2 linked regions of the Nothobranchius furzeri genome follow. Each later gene encodes a partner of the first gene's protein in a complex. Links are inferred from orthologs where the notes say so. Each region holds a gene or a part of one and is shown on either strand. Other genes may lie near its edges.

Region 1 (10,971 bases):
GTCAAAAATAAGCCCTTTCTTGGCATCAGAGCATGTCTTTACAATTCAGGGACTTCTTATGTGAAATCCATGATGGCACATATCAAAACGGGATCTGAAAATAACTGTCATTGGTTCGTTGACTCCCCCTTTGGCTGTAGGGGACCCATGGACCCTAAGTTAGTAGATGGGCATGATTGGCTCTTTAAACTGTTGCAAAAGCACTTTAAAATAATTGTTACCCAATTCAGTTTGAAGTGCATGCGAGTCAAGCAGCCATTGTTTCACAATATTTAAATAATAACTGATTTAAAATGAAGCGGGAAGCAATGAATAACTTATTATATAGGTAACATTTTTACTTTCCTGTAAAAGTTTACTTTTAATTTATTTCATTCTTTGTGAATCATGTTTTAGGTTTATTTAACCAGTCTATCATCATCAATGCAAGATTTTTGCATGTCAGACATGTTCACAGAACTTTAATCAAACATCTTTGATTTAGTTTTTTTTAACATGACTTCTCAATAGCTTTCATATTTTGTCATGTTAAGACTGACACTTCTTATTTGTTTTTAGCTTGTTAGAATTACAAGCACCTTGGAATATACTGTTGTGTTCAAGTTCAATAACTTATTACATAGTTGTATCAGTTTAAAAAATAAACTCATCTGCTTTGTTCGCACCTCATTTTTTTAACAGGTCCCATTGTTTTCACACACAGTTCGTCTGGACTGCCCAACAGTATAATGGCGGTGTTTACACTGCTGCAAGATTTATGATTAAAAAAAAACTTGCTCTGCATGTCAGCAACAGGACAAACCCTCATAAAATGTGAACTCAGAGGTTTTATTATGAGATTTACTAACTTGTTCCGTTTTCACTTCATACTGAAAGCACTCAGGTAAACCTACAATAAACCTATACAGAGCATGAGAGATTAAATTACCCACATGAAACATCTGAAAACAACCTGAACCCTTTTATTAATAATTTACTTATACAATAAATAGATTGCATTGTTTCACTTTTGTTCTGACTGAGGTACAACCCGCACGTTTAAAGGTTACTCACCTTTGCTGTCAGTGGTTGTCTTACTGTCATTTGCAGCACTTCCTGGTAGGGTGTGTCAGACAACAAAGAAAAACTCTTAGATCCTCAAAAAGAAATGACCTGACCGACATTATAGAATAAAACTTATATGGTGAATTTATCAAGCTAAAGAAATCTCACTTTCTTTGTATAACAGCACAATAAGTTTAACTGGAAGCTAAATAACATTGAAAAGTAAAAGCAGGTTAGAATGGCTAGAAACAGTAAAGACATGTCAAGGTTTTGAATTACAGATGTATTAAAATTTTTACCTCCGCTGCTAGCCTCCGACTTGTTAGACATGTTCACAGAACTTTAAATTTCCGATTCTAACACCGAACCCGAACAAGAAGAGAACCAACTCACGTCTGGCCCCGCCCCTAGGATGTGATTGGCTCAATACAAATATCAATACACGATTGGTCCTGGGAACTGTCAGTCAAAAAGCAAGGCGGAAGGAAACGTTAAGTTCTTATTTTGACATTCCTTATACCAAAAGACGTAAAAGTTGAATGAATCTTTTCAAGTTTCGTAAAGTTCACTTGTTTATAAACAGGAAGAGGGGTTACAAAATGTGAACAAAGAAAACAAATCAAAGGAAATTACAGCATTATGTTACAGAAAAACCATGAAAACTACAGTCAAAAATATAATAAAAAAAAAGACCTTTTTAGCTTCTCTGTTTCTGTTATGCATTACATCTGCCATAATTAGCTAAGGCAGAATTGGTAGAAAGAGCTGAATGAGGAGAAGGTAGTGATGAAGAATCAACCAAAGATCACACCAAAGCCAGCCTGAATAGGTGAGTGTTCTGCTTCTTTTTAAAGGAGAGCTCTGAGTCCACTGATCTCAGGCTCAGGGGGAGAGAGTTCCAGATTCTGGGGGCCAGCCTTTGACCTTTAGCCTGGTGTGCTGAACAACCAGTGGTATTTGGACCTCAGTTGGTCAATGGACCTCAGGGACCTGCTGGGGGTGTGAGGACTGAGAAGATCCCTAAAAACCAGAACCAGGATCTTGAAATTAACCCTGAAGTTGACTGGCAGCCAGTGAAGCTGGAGGAGAAGTGGGGTGATGTGGGTGTGTTTTGAGTATTTGGTCAAAAGCTGAGCACACACAGTTGCGTTTCAACTAACCACGGTAAGCAAAAACTACTTCAAAAAACTGATGACTACATTCCTTCTATTTAACAAAACCTGTCATCAGATCTCATCACGGCCGGTTAGCTCAGTTGGTTAGAGCGTGGTGCTAATAACGCCAAGGTCGCGGGTTCGATCCCCGTACGGGCCACTTAGTTATTTTTACTCTGTCCAAATCCGTCATTATTTTAACCATAAATGATCTGCACTTATGTGACGCCAGAGGACTCCACAACGCATTTCACTAGGCAAGGCAGCTTTATTTATATTGCACATTTCATACACAGAGGCAATTCAATGTGCTACTGGCATTCATTTAACGAAAGATATCTGTTGTGTCTGCAAACCTAAACAGAAACAAATTAACAGTATGTCTCTGCTGCTTTTCAATAGGAAGGAGTTCGCCCGACGATGCCAGTATGGTTCCATGGTGTAATGGTTAGCACTCTGGACTCTGAATCCAGCGATCCGAGTTCAAATCTCGGTGGAACCTGATTATTTTTAACGTAAATTGGTTTGTTTTTTTTATCACTCCACCATCACATCTACACGGTGAATTTTTGTCTAAGCGTGAATCTCGTGTGTTATCGTGAACCTGACTCATGACTTATTTAAGTTTCTTATGAGTGACATATGATGGACAAACTTTTGATTCGCGCAACAATGATTCTAGAAATGTAAAAAATAAATTTATTTGAATCAGTTTTAAGCCTTTTTCGATATCATATTATTGTAGTATTTTCTCTGTTTCGGTTTCAAGCTGCGGTCATTTCTTCTGGCGTTTCTTGGATGCTGCTGCCCCCTTCTGGTCAGATCTGGACCCAGAATTCCTGAAGAAGAAAAAAATCAGAAACCGGTGAGATTAGTTTAATTTATCAACCTCCTCGGCTTCATATCAAACAAATAGATGTTACTTTGATTTCTCTGTCGTCTCTGGATAAAGTATGACCACCTCCTCTTCCTCACTGTCTGAAATCTCCACCACAGCTGCTGTAAGACAAAACACATTAAAGTTCAATTATAATTTTTTTTCTTCTTCCATGACTTTTAGTTATGAAAACAAATAACCTTCTTTCTTGTCTTTTTCTGACAGTTTTATCTGTGTCACTTCTTCCACTTGGTCATCTCCACTGCTCTCCTCCTCCTCATCATCATCATCTTCTTCTTCCTCCTCCAGTCCCCAGCTCTGCAGACCCTGACCCACCTGACCAACACCTGGCACCGGCACCACTGGGGATGGGACTCTGGTATGGGTGTGTGGTTAGGGAGACTAACTGTCAGAAACAAAAACAAATGCCGTTCCTTTTTTGTCCTTTCATTTCAGTTCAGGATACGTTGGGGGCGGGGCTTCATCTCCCTGGAGGATCACCCCACTTCCTGTTTGGCTCACGTTGGTCATCTCTACATCGGTCTGGTCCATTTTCAGAGCTGTGATCCGATCCTGAGGCATGGACTCGGCAAAGCCACATTTACCACCTGCCTTCCTGGAACGTTTCAAACACATCATTCAAATGTAGCCTCTAAAGGGAATTGTGGGTAATGTAGTAATAAATAGGAGACAGCCACTCACCTGGCAGCCTTGTCATTTAACAAGGCTTGACTGATGAGTTCAGTGATTTCAGACACTTTGACGCTGGCTATTTTACTGCATCTCATAACCTACAACAACACAGAGCAAAAACATGCTGATGGATTCAACTAGGAATTAAATTATTAAACAAAGTCTTTTTTCAAAGAATTCCTTCTAAATATACTTCAGACTGACACGTGGGAGTCACAAGAAGAAGAAGAAGAAGAAAATATCATTTCTATAGCACCTCTCAAGATAAAAATCACAAGGCGCTTCACAAAAACAAAAATGTTAAAATATAAAAAACAATTTAGAAAATGGTTAAAAATATATTTAAAATGAGCAAAAAATAGACAATTGTGATCAAAAAAATGTTAAGAAAGAGAGAGTGAATAGGAAAGAGGGAAATCAGTGGATCCTGAGGAAGGTGGAATAGGTGGGGAGAGCAGAATAAAGAGAGAGAGGTGAAGAAGGTCATACAAAAGCCAGCTTGAACAAGTGAGTCTTCAGCTGCTTTTTAAAGGAGACCACTGAGTCCACTGATCTCAGGCTCAGGGTGAGAGAGGTCCAGAGTCTGGGGGCGACAGCAGCAGATGATCTGTCACCTTTGGTCTTTGGCCTGGTGCTGCACAACCAGTAGGCTTTGATCACTGGACCTCAGGGACCTGCTGGGGGTGTAGGGACTAAGAAGATCACCAATGTAAGATGGTGCTTGTCCATGTAAGGCCCTATAGACCAGAACCAGGATCTTGAAATGAACCCTGAAGTTGACTGGCAGCCAGTGAAGCTGGAGGAGAAGCGGGGTGATGTGGGTGTGTTTGGAGGACTTGGTCAGAAGCCGAGCACAGGCGTTCTGAACCACCTGTAGACGGTTCAGGGAGGTTCTGCTCAGACACGTGAAAAGAGAGTTACAGTAGTCTAAGCGTGAGGAGATGAAGGAGTGGAGAACCGTCTCAAGTTCAGAGCGGGACAGAATGGGACTCAGCTTAGCAACGTTCCTGAGATGGAAGAAGGAAGAGCCAACAAGAGAACTGACATGAGAATCCAGGGTGAGAGCTGGGTCAAAGGTCACGCCAAGATTCCTGACGGAGGGTTTGGTGTGGGAAGCAAGCTGACCAAGAGAGTCTCTGACTTTGGGAACCAGCTTGTCTGGGGCACAGATGAGGATCTCAGTCTTATCTTCATTCAGCTGAAGAAAGCTCCCACCATCCAGGTTTTGATAGAGTCTAAGCAGGTGTGTAACAGCTGCAGCTTAGACATCTCATGGGGCTTAAAGGAGATGTACAGTTGGATGTCATCTGTGTAAAGATGGTAGGAGATTCCTTTGAAGGAGCTCAGGATGTGCTGAAGAGGAAGCAGACAGAGGAGGAAGAGCAGAGGCCCCAGCACAGAACCTTGTGGGACACCATGGGTAAGGGAGGTGGTGGAGGACCTAAACTTGGAGACTGCCACAGAAAAGGAGCCCTCAGAGAGATAAGAGGAGAACCACTCCAGAGCAGATCCTGATAGGCCTACCCAGTCTCTCAGCCTCTCCAGTAGCAGGTGATGGTCAACAGTGTCAAAGGCTGCAGTCAGGTCCAGCAGGACCAGAACCAGAACCCTGCATCACTGTGAGTCAGAAGGTCATTAGAGACCCTAAGAAGAGCGGTTTCAGTAGAATGAACTCTACGAAAACCTGACTGGAAGCTATCATAGATGTTCTGTTCATCAAGAGCAGCTGTGAGTTGTTTAGCCACAACCTTTTCCAAGATCTTGGAGATGAACGGAAGTTTAGAGATGGGTCTGAAGCTGCTATGGAGAGAGGGGTCGAGACTCGGTGTTTTAAGAAGCGGGTGGATTACAGCGTTCTTAAAGTAGGCAGGGACCTGACCAGAGACCAGAGAAGCATTAGTTATAGAGAGCATGCTGGGACCGATCGAGGGGGCATGCAGAGGTCTTCATAGAGTTAACTAGTTTGGTTAACTCAGGCAAAGAAACAGGAGCAAAGCTATCTAGGATGATGGGCCTGGTTGGAGTCGGGAGAGGCGGTGATAAGGCTGAAGGAGAGATGCTAGATCTATCCTTACTGACTTTGTCCACAAAGAAAGACAGAAAGTTCTCACAGTCTGCAACAGAGTGGATGGAGGCTGTAGGAGAGGCAGGAGAGACGATGCTGCTGATGGTGTTAAACAGCACCTTGGGGTTCCCTTTGCTCTGGGACACCAGGTTGGAGAAACAGGAAACCGTAGCATCTCTGACTGCAGAGTTAAAGGATGTCAGAAGATCCTTTAGGTGCAGCAGATGGACGTGGAGATGGGTTTTCTTCCATAAGTGCTCAATTTTTCTTCATTGGCGCTTTAGGCTGCGAAGGCTGTCATTAAACCAGGGAGTAGGGTTCACTGCAGGAACTGATCTGGTTCTGACAGGACAGATGTTGTCCAGAATGGAGAGGCAGTGCTCGTTAAACTGAGAAGTTAAGGAAACTAGGGGCCGAAATGATAGAAAAACTGTTATTCTAGAACTTTTCAGAACGAGGGTCAAAATCATCACATTGTTGGTCCTTGTGGCTCACAAAAATTTGTTTTTTTTTCTGTTTGAAAAATGTAAAAGTTATTTTTATGGTGATTTAGTTTTATTTGTACTCCTCCAAATAGTGTCAAATTAAGAATTTTAGTAAAATTGTGAACACAAAATGTCAGACAGAATCAATCTACGTGAACAGCCAACCAGAGAAACTAAAGTCATTATTTGAGAAATGCAATTTGGGGACCACAAAAATTCATTGTGAAGGCTGCAAATGGCCCACAGGCCACAATTTGAACATCCCGGTTCTAGAATGTGCTGACCTGGTCTTTGAGCAGCATGATGCCCCCGCTGGACTGGATGGAGCAGATCTCTCTGTGTTTGTTCATAGCGATCATCAACAAGCCGTCCATTACTCGCTCCTCGCGCTCACATGGGTCCACCAGCAGAAATGTTCTACAGGGACAAGAATGTGCTCGTGTTGTTGTTGTGTATTGTTGTTCTAGATCAGTAAACGTTGCATTGTTTTACCCCTGTTGAAAGAAGGCAAAGCTGACACTGATGGGCATGTGGTAGACGCTCAGAGGGATCGGGTCTCTCTCCTCTGGACTGAACTGAGGAGATTAAGATGTCTGAGTAAGAGAAAGCCGAGTTTAAAGTAGCTCCTCTGCGGAGTTGTGCTTCCTGCTGGCTCACCACCGTCACTTCTTCTCCCTGGATCGCTACGTCAGGACGCCTGAAGTGGCACAGAGCCGTGATGGCGGCTACGCTGGCGGCATCCATCAGGTTTCCATCGTTGTTCAGGGTGTGAACATCCACTCTGACCTGCCACACCTGATCACAGAGACAGCAGCACCACCACCACTATCATCATCATCATCATCATCATCATCATCTTCCATCAGCAAGAACATTTTGCATCTCTCTCTCTCTCTCTCTCTCTCTCTCTCTCTCTCTCTCTCTCTCTCTCTCTCTCTCTCTCTCTCTCTCTCTCTCTCTCTCTCTCTCTCTCTCTCTCTCTCTCTCTCTCTCTCTCTCTCTCTCTCTCTCTCTCTCTCTCTCTCTCTCTCTCTCTCTCTCTCTCTCTCTCTCTCTCTCTCTCTCTCTCTCTCTCTCTCTCTCTCTCTCTCTCTCTCTCTCTCTCTCTCTCTCTCTCTCTCTCTCTCTCTCTCTCTCTCTCTCTCTCTCTCTCTCTCTCTCTCTCTCTATATATATATATATACACACACACGTCATAAATATTAAATAACACATGAGTGTTTTCCTAATAACTGCAGATTTCCTCTAATGCTTTTATACTGAAGTCGAGTCATTTCTGCAGCAGTGAGCCAGAAGAGTCTCTGGGGACTTTTGCATCTTAGGTGAAAACCTGTTTAGGATTAAAGCGTCTGCTGAATGACTAAACATGAACAATGACGTGAGGAAAAGCTCAAAAACAGCTTGGTAATCTGCCAGGAGGTGGTGTGTGTTTGTGTATCCTGGCTTTCTGTCACCTTCTCTCCAGACACCACACACAGCGACTCAGTATCGATGCACTTGGAGTTCCTCAGGCACCTCTCCAGCTGTCTGTTCAGCTTCACCGACAGCTCCGACTGTCTGCAGGGACACAAATCCCACGGATGATTTTCTGCTCCAGCAGGCCGGCTCCACATTACAGCGTGTAATGAATCAGCGTCGTTAAACAGGAGGGGATGAAAACAAACACACAAGTCGTCCTCACCGGCCCTGCTCGAACGATGGCGAGGCCATGGGTGACAGCTCGATGTTGAAGAACAGGATTCCCTCAGTGGGCCGGTTCTCTTTAGGCGCCACCAACTCACACGACACCTGAGCCATGACCCTGAGAAGAGGTCAGAAACAGTTTACTCCTCGTGGACATGCTTGTCGTGTAAATCTGCCCTTATTGGATTCATCCGTCACCCTCAGGAGAAAGGAAACTGCTTTTAATGTTCAGGGACAACCCAGAAACCACCAAGTCTCAACATCAACGTGAGCGGGGCTCTTGCTCCAAACTGAAACCTTTGCTTCCCACACGGGTGCGCCGGATCACTGTGAGGATTTCAGACTAAAGAACTCTGAAGCAACTGTCGTGCACGGCAGAGGTGGTGTCATGTTGTGGTACTGGTGCACGGAACAAAGAGAAACGGGAGGAGAGATGACTGACGGACAGAGACATTTCCATGCTGCTAACTCTTTTCTCTTGGAGGGACAAACCCTTAAAAGCATCTAAAGGTCACAGACAAGGGTCGATTCTAGATTATATTAAAGTGACAATGTGTAGTTTTTACCATTAATCTCTGGAAATATCCATTGAAATGTTGTAAATGAATTAAAAAGTGCCCAGTTGTTGACAAATAGTGGTTGTTTCATAACATGCAGTGGGGCAAAAAAGTATTTAGTCAGCCACCGATTGTGCAAGTTCTCCCACTTAAAATGATGACAGAGGTCAGTAATTTACATCATAGGTGCACTTCAACTGTGAGAGACAGAATGTGGAAAAAAAATCCATGAATTCACATGGCAGGATTTTTAAAGAATTTATTTGTAAATCAGGGTGGAAAATAAGTATTTGGTCACTTCAGACAAGGAAAATCTCTGGCTCTCACAGACCTGTAACGTCTTCTTTAAGAAGCTTTTCTGTCCTCCACTCATTACCTGTATTAATGGCACCTGTTTGAACTCATTATCTGTATAAAAGACACCTGTCCACAGCCTCAAACAGTCAGACTCCAAACTCCACTATGGCCAAGACCAAAGAGCTTTCGAAGGACACCAGGAAAAGAATTGTAGACCTGCACCAGACTGGGAAGAGTGAATCTACAATAGGCAAGCAGCTTGGTGAGAAAAGATCAATTGTGGGAGCAATTATCAGAAAATGGAAGACATACAAGACCACTGATAATCTCCCTCGATCTGGGGCTCCACGCAAGATCTCATCCCGTGGGGTCAAAATGATCATGAGAACGGTGAGCAAGAATCCCAGAACCACACGGGGGGACCTGGTGAATGACCTGCAGAGGGCTGGGACCACAGTAACAAAGGTCACCATCAGTAACACATTACAACGTCAGGGAATCAAATCCTGCAGTGCCAGACGTGTTCCGCTGCTGAAGCCAGTGCATGTCCAGGCCTGTCTGAAGTTTGCCAGAGAGCACATGGATGATACAGCAGAGGATTGGGAGAATGTCATGTGGTCAGATGAAACCAAAGTAGAACTTTTTGGTATAAACTCAACTCGTCGTGTTTGGAGGAAGAAGAATACTGAGTTGCATCCCAAGAACACCATACCTACTGTGAAGCATGGGGGTGGGAACATCATGCTTGGGGCTGTTTTTCTGCTAAGGGGACAGGACGACTGATCCGTGTTAAGGACAGAATGAATGGGGCCATGTTTCGTGAGATTCTGAGCCAAAACCTCCTTCCATCAGTGAGAGCTTTGAAGATGAAACGTGGCTGGGTCTTCCAACACGACAATGATCACAAACACACCGCCCGGGCAACAAAGGAGTGGCTCCGTAAGAAGCATTTGAAAGTCCTGGAGTGGCCTAGCCAGTCTCCAGACCTCAACCCCATAGAAAATCTGTGGAGGGAGTGGAAAGTCCGTGTTGCTCGGCGACAGCCCCAAAACATCACTGCTCTCGAGAAGATCTGCATGGAGGAATGGGCCAAAATACCAGCTACTGTGTGTGCAAACCTGGTAAAGACCTATAGTAATCGTTTGACCTCTGTTATTGCCAACAAAGGTTATGTTACAAAGTATTGAGTTGAATTTTTGTTATTGACCAAATACTTATTTTCCACCCTGATTTACAAATAAATTCTTTAAAAATCCTTCCATGTGAATTCATGGATTTTTTTTCACATTCTGTCTCTCACAGTTGAAGTGTACCTATGATGTAAATTACTGACCTCTGTCATCATTTTAAGTGGGAGAACTTGCACAATCGGTGGCTGACTAAATACTTTTTTGCCCCACTGTATAGCCATAAAAATTGGGTTTAAAATGCATAGGAGTGGGTCTAAGTCTCTGGGTGACACAATATTGGATGCCATGTTTCCTTTTACGGAAGCCCGTGAGGACAGAATGCATTCACTGATTTGTAACTAATAGTTACAAAACTTTCAGCATTAATAAACGTTGTTCTTTTACATGTTTATCTCTTCACTCATTGCAAGGGATGAAAGGGAATCTGATGTTCTTGTTATTTTGATGAAGGTTGCACTCCCAAGGATTTTTGACCCTAACAGTTCCTCGTGTTGATTTTAGAGACAACATGTTAGTCAGTATTAGAATCATTCAGCAGCTTTCATCACATTACCAAACCCCAGAATCACCTGGTTTGCCCCAGATCCACAAAGCAGCATCCATAATCAGTCCCAAAAGTGATTTTCAACTTTCTGTAGTCATAGGTCTGTCGTCCATCGAGCCGCTAAAAGACACGAACAAAAAACAGTAAACAGAACTTTAGCTAGTTTCTTCAAAAACAATAGTTGGAACTTGGAAAATTAAATGACTTAATTTCGGTTACAACGTTTTTATCTTAAACATTTCTGTGACAATTTTGGTGTGAATTCTCACTTCTAAAGATACAATCATGAATAGAAGCACGGATTTTTTTCAGTTTTTCCATTCAACGTTCTGGATGTGGAGGTTGTTTTCTTAGCTACTTTGATGATAAACGTTTTAAAACG
Region 2 (10,437 bases), on another chromosome or scaffold:
AATCCTGCAGATTCCAGATCTTCTGTAGAAATCCTAGAAATCTTTGAGAGAGCCCAGAAATCCTGCAAAGATCCCAGAGCTCCTGAAGAGTTCCCAGGAATACTCAAGAGATCCCAGAACCCCTGCAGAGTTCCCAGGAATCCTCCAGAGATCCCAGAACCCCTGCAGTTCCCAGGAATCCTCCAGAGATCCCAGAACCCCTGCAGAGTTCCCAAGAATCCTCCAGAGATCCCAGAACCCCTGCAGAGTTCCCAGGAATCCTCCAGAGATCCCAGAACCCCTGCAGTGCTCTCAGAAATCATCCAGAAATCTCTGAATTTTTACAGAGTTCCCAGAAATTCTGCAGAGATCCCAAATAAATCCCTGAACTCCTGCAGTTTCCAAATCTCCTCCAGAGATCCCAGAACTCTTCCGTAAGTTTCCTCTCGTCTCACAGCCAGCATCAGCTCATGTCTACCTGCAGAGAGGACTGCCTCTCACGTGTTTTCTTGCCTCCTGTCAGAAGAAAGTGCCATAATATCTAAAATAATTCAGCAATATTTCTAAATAAAAATGTTACTTTTGAGAACATTTAGGTGGTTTTTAGCTGCAGATCTAAAGTGCCAAAATAAGATGTTCAAACGAGTCATTTTCCTTCTGAAGAGATATTTGAAAAGCGAACCTGGTGGCTTCTGTGGAACGAGAACAACCTTCATAAATGCGTAAAACTCAAGGCTGAACTTCAGACGAGCAGAACAACAAGGCAAAACAGCAGAAACACAAAAGATGGATAAAAGAAGCGATCGAGGTAAGGAGACGTGGATGCGGGACCATGAACAGGGACGATGGGGTTTACTCGTTGGGACTGCATCGTCGCAGAGGGGAGAGCGGGCAGCAGAGGGCGACAACGTCCTCTGCTGCCCGCGGATAAACGACGTAGGAAGTGACGCCACCATCGGCGTCAGCTCTGACAAAGTTTGCAGCCGCAAACGAAACGCTGCAGGTAAATAAAACCTTTCTGTTTTTAAAAGAACGGAAAGATGGAACGTTTTAGTAAGGATGCTACGCAACGTTTGATCAACGAGACCCCCGGTCCAGAAAAGAGAACCCAGTTCTGTTTTCATAGCCGACTACAAATAACTGGCTTTGTCATACGAAGGCGGAGGACATCTTGTTCTCGTCAGATGATTCAGCTCCACTGTGCCTGCACGTCTTCAACATCCTACAGAAACAAACCTTGTTGCGTCGTGGGACAAATAAAAGATTCCTGTCGCTCTGGTTTCCATCCACCCTAACCCGAAGGCGTTTCCATCGAGTCAGTCAGACGGAGGTTCGGTCACTCTCAAGTGTGAATATTTGAATTAAATCAATAAATCCTAATGAATGCACTTAAATGAAAAGATTTTCCTCTCTTTTTATTTGAAAATAATTAATAAAAACTGAATATTTATGCTTTCTATTAAAAGAAGACTTGGAAGGGGGGGGGGGAATCAGAGGTTTTTGGAGTAGCGCCGTCTCACGGAGTCTCTGTAGAACTGGAAGACCTTCTCCGATGCTTTCTGGCTGACGGCTACACATTCCTGCAGCTGTGGACGAACGGAAAGACAAACGACGGAGTCAGAGGAACGAACAGGAAGCCGTAAAGGAATTAGAAACACAAACACACACAGCCCGCTTCATCGCTCACCTCCTGGACCGAAAATGAACCTTTGGTCGATGACATCATCACTCTTCGTTCTGTGCTGTCGATGGCGAAAGTCATCAACGCTCGACTTTCCTTACGGAAGAAAAAACAAAAGGTCAGCATTAGCCTGCGCTGTTACCATTAGCAACCAGCTGGAGGCCCAGAACTACCAAATGAGCTGTTTGAGTCACACTAAACACTTTGTGTATTTCCTAAAATATCTTAAAGAGCAAGTCAACCCCTACCAGAATCTAACTCCACTCCCACTTCATGTTTGAAAAATGCAACAAATGCTGTTGCCTGGCAGACCAAGGGGGCGGAGCTGCTAACAAATACACACACACAGACATTGTGACATCATAATCTACCAGTTTACATCATAGCATACCTCTTAGCCAATAGTGGTGGAAGATTTAAATTAGAATACAATGCAGAGTTTTTACCTGACAACGGCACAACACTGCCAGTTTTAGGCAGAATATTTAAATTTTAACTAAGATGCACTGAAGTGACAAATTATTGACGGCACGTGTCTGCAGCACGATTAGACACTCGTTTCTTTAGTTTATCAGCAAAAAAAAAGGTTATTTGGGGTGACTTGCTCTTTAAAGAGCAAGTCACCCCCAAATCAGCTTGTTTTTCTGATAAACTATATAAACGCGTGTCTAATCGTGCTGCAGACACGTGTCATCAACAGTTTTGCACTTTTATGCATTTTAGTAAAAATTGAAATATTCTGTCTAAAACTGTCAGTGTTGTGCCGTTGTCAGGTAAAAACTCTGCACTGCAGTTGAATTTAAATCTGCCGTCGCTATTGGCTAAGAGGTACCCTGGAACGTTAGCTGGTACCATATGATGTCACAATGTCGTTGTGAGCCTGTGTGTGTGTATGTTTTGTATGGTAGGGGGTGACTTGCTCTTTAACTTGTTTGTGATTTATCCTCGTTATTGTTGCTTGGATGCTCTCTTTTCGGTCTCCAGTCGGTCACAACGTGCCTTCTCAGGTCTTTTCTCAGGTTCCTCCCAAAGTTGTCTCACATTTCAAACAGAAACTAAACAGAATCCTTCCAGGACACCCACAAAGACCCAGAGACCCAGGTGCGAAGCCCTGCGACTCAGGAGGAAGCTAAGAACCTCTCGCAAACATTTTGAGATATTTTGGAAACTCCCTGGGAAATGTAGTCGTGGCCCAGAGAGAAACTCTGCAGGTGAAGTAAGTAAAGGTCAGCACCCACAGGTTTTTAACCACGGATGGATGTGTGGTCTGCTGAAATGATGTCGACTGCACCGGGGTCGTCTGTGCCGAATTCCTGGGAGCTGTTTTTCTACAGGCTCGTCTTCATCAGAGCTTCGCATCAATTAAAACCTGAAAAGAACTAAAGGAGTCTCAGTATTTGCTTCAAATTCCTTTCAGATTTACTTTCTCCTGAGCTGCTGTGGGATCTGCGATGATGTCACCGTCCGCACCGATGGCGCACGTCACTCCACAGAAAAGACAGCTCATGGACAAGCCTGCATCCATCAGAGCCATGCAGGCCGCATTCAGGCAGCAGGACAGGAGCTGAGGAGCAGGTCAAGGAAGAAGAAAGGCTCCGCCCCAGTGGCTCCGGGGAGTTTTAGTAAAGGATACCGAGCCGTCGTCATGCAGCACCTGAAGGATGAGGGTCAGCGAGGAGCGAGGATGAAGAGACAAGAGAAGAGCTGCCTCACACGTTTCTCTCACACACTGCTCCTGTGACTGCTCCCTCACACCTAGAAAATTCAAAACGGGAGAATCAGCAGAGATAAGAAGAGAGACAAGCAGCTCACTGCCTCCCCCTTGTGGTGTGCCACGGTAAAACACGTTTCATGATGTAAAGTTGCTATGGCGTTAGGGTTATAATTACGTTACTGAGAAGAGATTAAATACTTTAAACAGCAGAGGTTTTTGTACTTGTGTGTGTTAAAGACGCTCAACTAAATATGTTTTAGAAACTCTTCTGGGGCTTTGTTATAAAGATTAAAGCCCCATCATCATCATCATCATCACCACTCTGGTGAAATTCGTTCTCTGCATTCGACCCATCCCTGAGGGAGCAGTGAGCTGCACACACGTCTGCGCCCGGCAACTATTTGGTCGTTTAAAAGAGCAAGTCACCCCCAAATCAGCTTTTTTTCCTGATAAACTATAGAAATGCGTGTCTAATCGTGCTGCAGACACGTGTTGTCAATAGTTTTGCACTTTAGTGCATTTTAGTTAAAATTTTAATTTTCTGCCTAAAACTGTCAGTGTTGCGCCGTTGTCAGGTAAAAACTCTGCACTGCATTTGAATTTAAATCTGCCATCGCTATTGGCTAAGAGGTACCCTAGAACGTTAGCTGGTACCATATGATGTCACAATGTCGTTGTGAGCCTGTGTGTGTGTGTATTTGTTAGTGGCTCCACCCTCTCGGTCTGCTAGGCAACAGCATTTGTTGCATTGTTCAAACAGGAAGTGGGAGTGGAGTAAGACTCTGGTAGGGGGTGACTTGCTCTTTAATCACACGAAACAACCTCTTAATGCTGAGTGTTAAGCAGGGAGGCATCGGGTCACATTTTTAAAGTCTTTGGTACGACCCGACCGTGGATTTGACCCCTGATCGCCCAGTCCCAGGGCAGAAACTCTACCGTTAGCTGGTAGGAGGAAAATGCTATAAAAGTGCTAAATGTTTTAGGCAACTCTCCTTACATCTAGGTCTGAAACGATTCCTCGAGTACCTCGAAAAATTCGTGTACAATTCTCAAACTCTCTGCCTCGAGGCTTCGTTTAATTCATGTTTAATTAATTCATGGCTTAGCAATCGCCCGTGGTCACGTTTCACCCGGACTGAAATAAGTGACGCACATACACACAGCACTGAACGCACACGCGAGAAGCGAATGTAACCTAACTTTCTCTTAAGCCATGGCGGACGACGTGGACCCCGGTGGAGTGTGAAAAAGACACAAAATATCAAAGGTGAGGGAGCATTTTTCACGTGGTCAGGCGGGAAACGTAGTCCAGAGTAAATACTGTAAAATGGATGTAGCCCACCACAACACCACATCCTCCATGCTGCAGCACCTGACCAGGAAACATCCATATGTAAATGTCACTTCTGCAAGCGGTCTCGGAGGTCCACTTTGCGACTTTTTCGTTTGTAGCGCTCAGTTTCAGCTCACACTGTCGTCTGGTAGCAACACGTCGGATCTAAAAATGTGCTAAAAATAGCAGTTTTTACACGTCAGACTTTTCATTGTGTTGTTATTGACTTCTGTTGTCCCTCGGGGTCGCTGCAGGAGGACACGGGTGTTTATGAGGAAAACGAAAGAAAGTAAATAAATGTTTTGTGATCAGTATAATTTGACAAAACCACGGCAAACATGCTTTCTCGACAATCCTCGTTAGTGTTAGACAAAAAGTGCAGAAATTAAAACGGACGTGTGTTCATAGGGAAACAGCTGGCGAGATGTTTGCGCATGCGCCGTGAGCGGTTCTGGTTCTGTTTGGGCCGCAGCCGCTCGCTGTGCTACTTCAACAGTTATCCTCCTAGTTTTTGTCTGGCTTGCAGGCTGGTAGATCCACACGAGGAGAAAACCGGCTCAGGTTGTTTACTTATTTTTTGCACAGGCGTTTGTTTACTGTGAAGTAAAGTTGAAGTTTTGAAAACTAATTTTGAATAAAACTTGAAGAATAACTGGCAATTGCGTGCTAATTTTAGGAGCTCTTTCATATTTTATAACATGCTATTTGATATAATGGTTTACAAACACAAAAGGGTCATTTATTAGAGTACTCGATTACAAAAATATTTGATAGCCGCAGCTCTAGTTCTGGCCTTAATAATGAAGCATTTTAAATGATGCACCTGAGCTGTAACTATGGTAACGCAAGATTCCATAGCTTTACCATAGTGACAGTCTATCATAGGTGACAGACAGCGCTCCATAGGGAGTCTAAGCCACGCCCATCTACTTCCGGACCACGGGTCCCCAGAAGAACAAAACAATGAATGCAAGTCAGCGGGGCTAAAGACACTATTTTCTAATTCTGCTTGTTATGTGCCATGGATTTCACACATGATTAGGTCTGAAACGATTCCTCGAGTACCTCGAATAATTCGTGTACAATTCTCAAACTCTCTGCCTCGAGACTTCATTTAATTCATGTTTAATTAATTCATGGCTTAGCAATCGCCCGTGGTCACGTTTCACCCGGACTGAAATAAGTGACGCACATACACACAGCACTGAACGCACACGCGAGTAGCGAATGTAACCTAACTTTCTCTTAAGCCATGGCGGACGACGTGGACCCCGGTGGAGTGTGAAAAAGACACAAAATATCAAAGGTGAGGGAGCATTTTTCACGTGGTCAGGCGGGAAACGTAGTCCAGAGTAAATACTGTAAAATGGATGTAGCCGACCACAACACCACATCCTCCATGCTGCAGCACCTGACCAGGAAACATCCATATGTAAATGTCACTTCTGCAAGCGGACTCGGAGGTCCGCTTTGCGACTTTTTCGTTTGTAGCGCTCAGTTTCAGCTCACACTGTCGTCTGGTAGCAACACGTCGGATCTAAAAATGTGCTAAAAATAGCAGTTTTTACACGTCAGACTTTTTATTGTGTTGTTATTGACGTCTGTTGTCCCTCGGGGTCGCTGCAGGAGGACACGGGTGTTTATGAGGAAAACAAAAGAAAGTAAATAAATGTTTTGTGATCAGTATAATTTGACAAAACCACGGCAAACATGCTTTCTCGACAATCCTCGTTAGTGTTAGACAAAAAGTGTAGAAATTAAAACGGACGTGTGTTCATAGGGAAACAGCTGGCGAGCCATGTTTGTGCATGCGCCGTGAGCGGTTCTGGTGCCGTTTGGGCCGCAGCCGCTCGCTGTGCTACTTCAACAGTTATCCTCCTAGTTTTTGTCTGGCTTGCAGGCTGGTAGATCCACACACGAGGGGAAAATCTTGTTTATAATAATAATAATAGTTTATAAACACAAAAGGGTAATTTATTAGAGTACTCGATTAATCGATAAAAGATTCGATAGAGTACTCGATTACAAAAATATTCAATAGCTGCAAAAGTTTTAAAGGTAAAAGTGCACGAAGGTCATCAAGTGTAGAGCAAAATGTACCTGTTAGGAGTGGGATTTATTACGTTTATGTTTTAGATGAAACAGGAGATGACACCAGTTTTTTTTTGTAAAAACCCTCATAAAAGGAAACGACTGAGTACATCACGTTTCTGCTTTGATAAAATGACTTGGTGTTGTATTTGATGTGAGGATTCTGCAAACAGCAACAGCCCAAAATGTGTCTGAAACCCGGCGTTCACCTTTTGTTTGGTGACACACCTGTTCCTGTTGACATTTTGGCTCATATCTAATATTTAAAAGTGTTTGGTTTAAGAAAACAAAACAAAAATGACAATAATTCATTTGTTTTCCATTCTGGAAAATAAACTACCTGCTGGTCCCACTTTAGGCTGAAGCAACACCTCCAGAGTGGCCCGATCATAGATTTCTTTACTGACTTTGACCTCAGCAGGCCCGTAAACGCCGGCCATCACACTCGTATCCCCTTTGAAAACAAACAAACAAGGTAAACGGTTATTAGTATATTTCTAATTTTACAGAAGCATTCATTTCATTCCAGAACTGCGCTGCTCTGGGTGGCTGCATGTTGGAGTAGCTCTGTTGACTATATGGAAGTTTTGCCTTTTTTGGACATTTTTTCTTCTAGTTTCTCAAGAAAAACTGTATTTTTTGACATTTTACTTTTCTGTTTCTGGTGCTGTGAAGATTGGAGGATTTTTTCTGCAATTTTTTCACTTTTTTAGCATTTGTTATGATGTGTAACCATGGCAACAAGCTGGTTTACAATCGGGAGCAGCTGATTAACATTGGAAAGGCTGAAATAACACCTCGACTGAAGCCACAAATCCCAAATGAGCTAAAACAAAAGAAGCGTGGGTGCAGAGCGGGAGCGGGACGGAGACGGAGAAAGAGGAAATTCAAACCATCTCTTCCATCGATCATAATGGGCGATGTGAGATCACTGGCCAACAAGATGGAGGAACTCCAAGCCCTTTCGAGGACTCAGCCAGAGTTTCGGCATTTTCGGAACCGCTGGAGGAGATAAAGCAAAGAAGGATTCTCCAGAGAATCAAGAAAATGATGGACAACCCTGAGCATTCTCTTCACAAGACTGTCCGACAACGGAAGAGTGTCTTCAGTCAGAGGCTTCTTCAGTTTGGCTGCAACACTGACCGCTACTGGAGATCCTTCCTGCCAACAGCCGTTGTAATATACAACACCTCTTTGATGACTTGATTATTATTATTATTCTGAGCTACTACAGCAATCAGTTTCCCTCTGGGATTAATAAAGTATTTTTGAACTGAACTGAGTGAAGTAAGAAACACCTAGAAGGTAAACAAAACACCAATCTGTGAAACGCCTGAACAACACTGGTTGATTTATTTTCAACGTAAAAAAAGAAGCTTTGTGACAATTTTCAAACATAAAAAGGAAAACTTCAACCAAAGGTGTAAAGGCCACGGGTTTAAGTCGAGGGAAACGCGTTTAAACACGCGACACCAAACCTCATATTTACACATTCACTTCCTTTCTTCTGCTTTTAAGATGCTTTTCGGCGAACAGCGCTCCTCTGCGACTCGCGCAGCCTGTTTGAGTCTGAATAAAAGACCAAATCACGGACATAAATGATGATTGTTACCCTGGACGAACGACGCCGAGCCGTCCGGTCTGGACAGCAGATTCTGTTCACAGCCGAACTCTCTGAGAGAAACATTATTAGAAGCAGAAACCTCCATCATGCCGCCTTCTTCGAGAATATGTTTGTCGCAGGGGAATTACGTCATCGGTTCTTTCAAAGTTAAACCGGAGACATCGATTTGACACTTCTTACAAAAACGTATTACATAGGTGTCTTGCGTTTTAATTTTTTATGATCATAAGTAACATTTTTCAACAATAATCTTTTTTATATATGCTTCTGATCGTTTATTTAGTCATTATTTATTTTGAAAGTACAAAACGGAAAGCGCTATCCATCGAGTTGTCAGTTAACCACTAGGGGGCGACAAAACCCCATTCTTTCATTTGTAAACACCATTTTAGAATGCTGCGTGAATAACCAGAAGCTGTGTTCGTCATTACTGGTTTCGTGTTTAACTTGATGCTGTCTTTGTGAAGCAAGTTGTAGTTTTTTGTTAAAGCAACTACTTTATTCATTTTACTTCTATTTGCCTTCAAATTTTGATCTTCTGAGAAAACTGACAGGTGCTCCGCAAGTGGACACCCGTTTTTGTTGCTTTATGTTTACAATTTAGGTAAAATTTTCAATAGCAAAAAATGCTTCTTCGTTTTTCTATTTTTTATTTATTTTGTTTTTGGTAATTGGTTTAAATATTTTAAATACATACTTGAAAGCATAAATGTTTCACAGAATATGTTTGCTGTGCTATGAAAACCTGTTTCAGACCTTCTGGGCCTAAGTAGGCTGTATAATCTAGTATTATCATAGTTGACTGGGTGCTTTGGAGGACCCACAGCACCCAAGTGGAGCTCGCTGCAGAACCACAAAGGCAGAGGATTAACTTGTTTCATATTTTATGACTTTACTATTTTGTTTTTAATGTAAGTCTGATAAAGATCATTGTGATGTTATTACTTAGTTTTGATCTGTGTGAAGCACTTTGTGATTTTGTCTGTGATGAGTGGTATATAAATTTCACTTACTTTATATGTATCATGTGTTAAATATAATAAATCCTAAATACTAACTACATAGAAGTATAATTATATATATTTATACACACACAGATATAAATAAATAAATATATATTTATTCATACACACACACACACATATAGATATAAACAAATATATATATATATATATTTATATAGATGTGTGTGTGTAGCCTGCCTTTCTAAGTCTGAGACATAATCCAGCTCCCCCATAGCCCTAGTGACGATAACTGACGTTGACTGAGATTTTAAGACAAACATCAATGCTGATGATTTTATTTTACATGTAATTGATGACATAGATTGGTAAACTAAACCAAACAGCAAAACACCAGGTACTAATCTGTGTTGCACATGCAAGACACACGGATATCTCTTTTGTCTCTTATGTCATGCATGAAAACTCCATATCATCTCTGAGAAGGTGAAAATGAAGGGAGACCGGGTTTCATCCTCATCCATATCGTGTGTAGTCACGAACAGACGGCCATTGCTGCGTCGTCTTCATCCACACTGAAGATGTCTGGTGGGATGACCTATGTAACAAAGTGTTGTTGGTTTTCCTTCACCCAGCTCCAGGCCACCATGATGCCACTCATCACAGACACGTCCCATATGCAAAATGATAATGAATTCCAATAACAAGGAAATGAGTCATGCTCTCGTCGTTGAATACAAATACACAAACAACCAATAAACATTCACTAGATGCTACATACCTGTACTTCTTTTCATTGGGTGACCTCCATAGTGTCTGGCTCTGTTGGGCTGAATTGACTTTGAAGAAAAGATTTTCCCCATGAAATATTACAAACTCCCCATGTACTGGCAACTCACATCCTGGAAATTTCCTGCAAAGTATTCATACCCAGCCAGAGGAAATGTCTTCAGTAATTGTTGGCACCACCCATGGATGTAATTTGGGGGGGGGGGGGGGGGTACAGGGGGGGACATGACCCCCCCCCCCCCCCCCCCACAAAGTCAAGCTTTG

Evidence for each region.
Region 2: exosc9 (region 1) and exosc5 share a complex: the UniProt entries of both Homo sapiens proteins name them as parts of the RNA exosome core complex. The link is inferred for Nothobranchius furzeri from reciprocal best matches to the Homo sapiens genes EXOSC9 and EXOSC5.

The regions. Positions count from the first base shown.
Region 1 is NC_091746.1:81,902,564-81,913,534, forward strand, and holds the end of exosc9 (exosome complex component RRP45), read right to left. Parts: intron 10,710-10,971; coding exon 10,615-10,709; intron 8,120-10,614; coding exon 8,000-8,119; intron 7,876-7,999; coding exon 7,773-7,875; intron 7,114-7,772; coding exon 6,976-7,113; intron 6,894-6,975; coding exon 6,811-6,893; intron 6,736-6,810; coding exon 6,603-6,735; intron 3,867-6,602; coding exon 3,778-3,866; intron 3,692-3,777; coding exon 3,542-3,691; intron 3,452-3,541; coding exon 3,276-3,451; intron 3,198-3,275; coding exon 3,122-3,197; intron 3,038-3,121; coding exon 2,974-3,037; 3' UTR 2,875-2,973; downstream 1-2,874. Other genes in the region: caspase-6, read right to left, coding at 1,054-1,095, 1,344-1,374. UniProt on the Homo sapiens protein: Non-catalytic component of the RNA exosome complex which has 3'->5' exoribonuclease activity and participates in a multitude of cellular RNA processing and degradation events.
Region 2 is NC_091753.1:58,575,169-58,585,605, reverse strand, and holds exosc5 (exosome complex component RRP46), read right to left. Parts: upstream 8,571-10,437; 5' UTR 8,511-8,570; coding exon 8,411-8,510; intron 7,811-8,410; exon of another isoform or gene 7,711-7,810; coding exon of another isoform or gene 7,692-7,710; intron 7,253-7,691; coding exon 7,139-7,252; intron 3,416-7,138; coding exon 3,294-3,415; intron 3,225-3,293; coding exon 3,084-3,224; intron 1,757-3,083; coding exon 1,667-1,756; intron 1,566-1,666; coding exon 1,470-1,565; 3' UTR 1,374-1,469; downstream 1-1,373. UniProt on the Homo sapiens protein: Non-catalytic component of the RNA exosome complex which has 3'->5' exoribonuclease activity and participates in a multitude of cellular RNA processing and degradation events.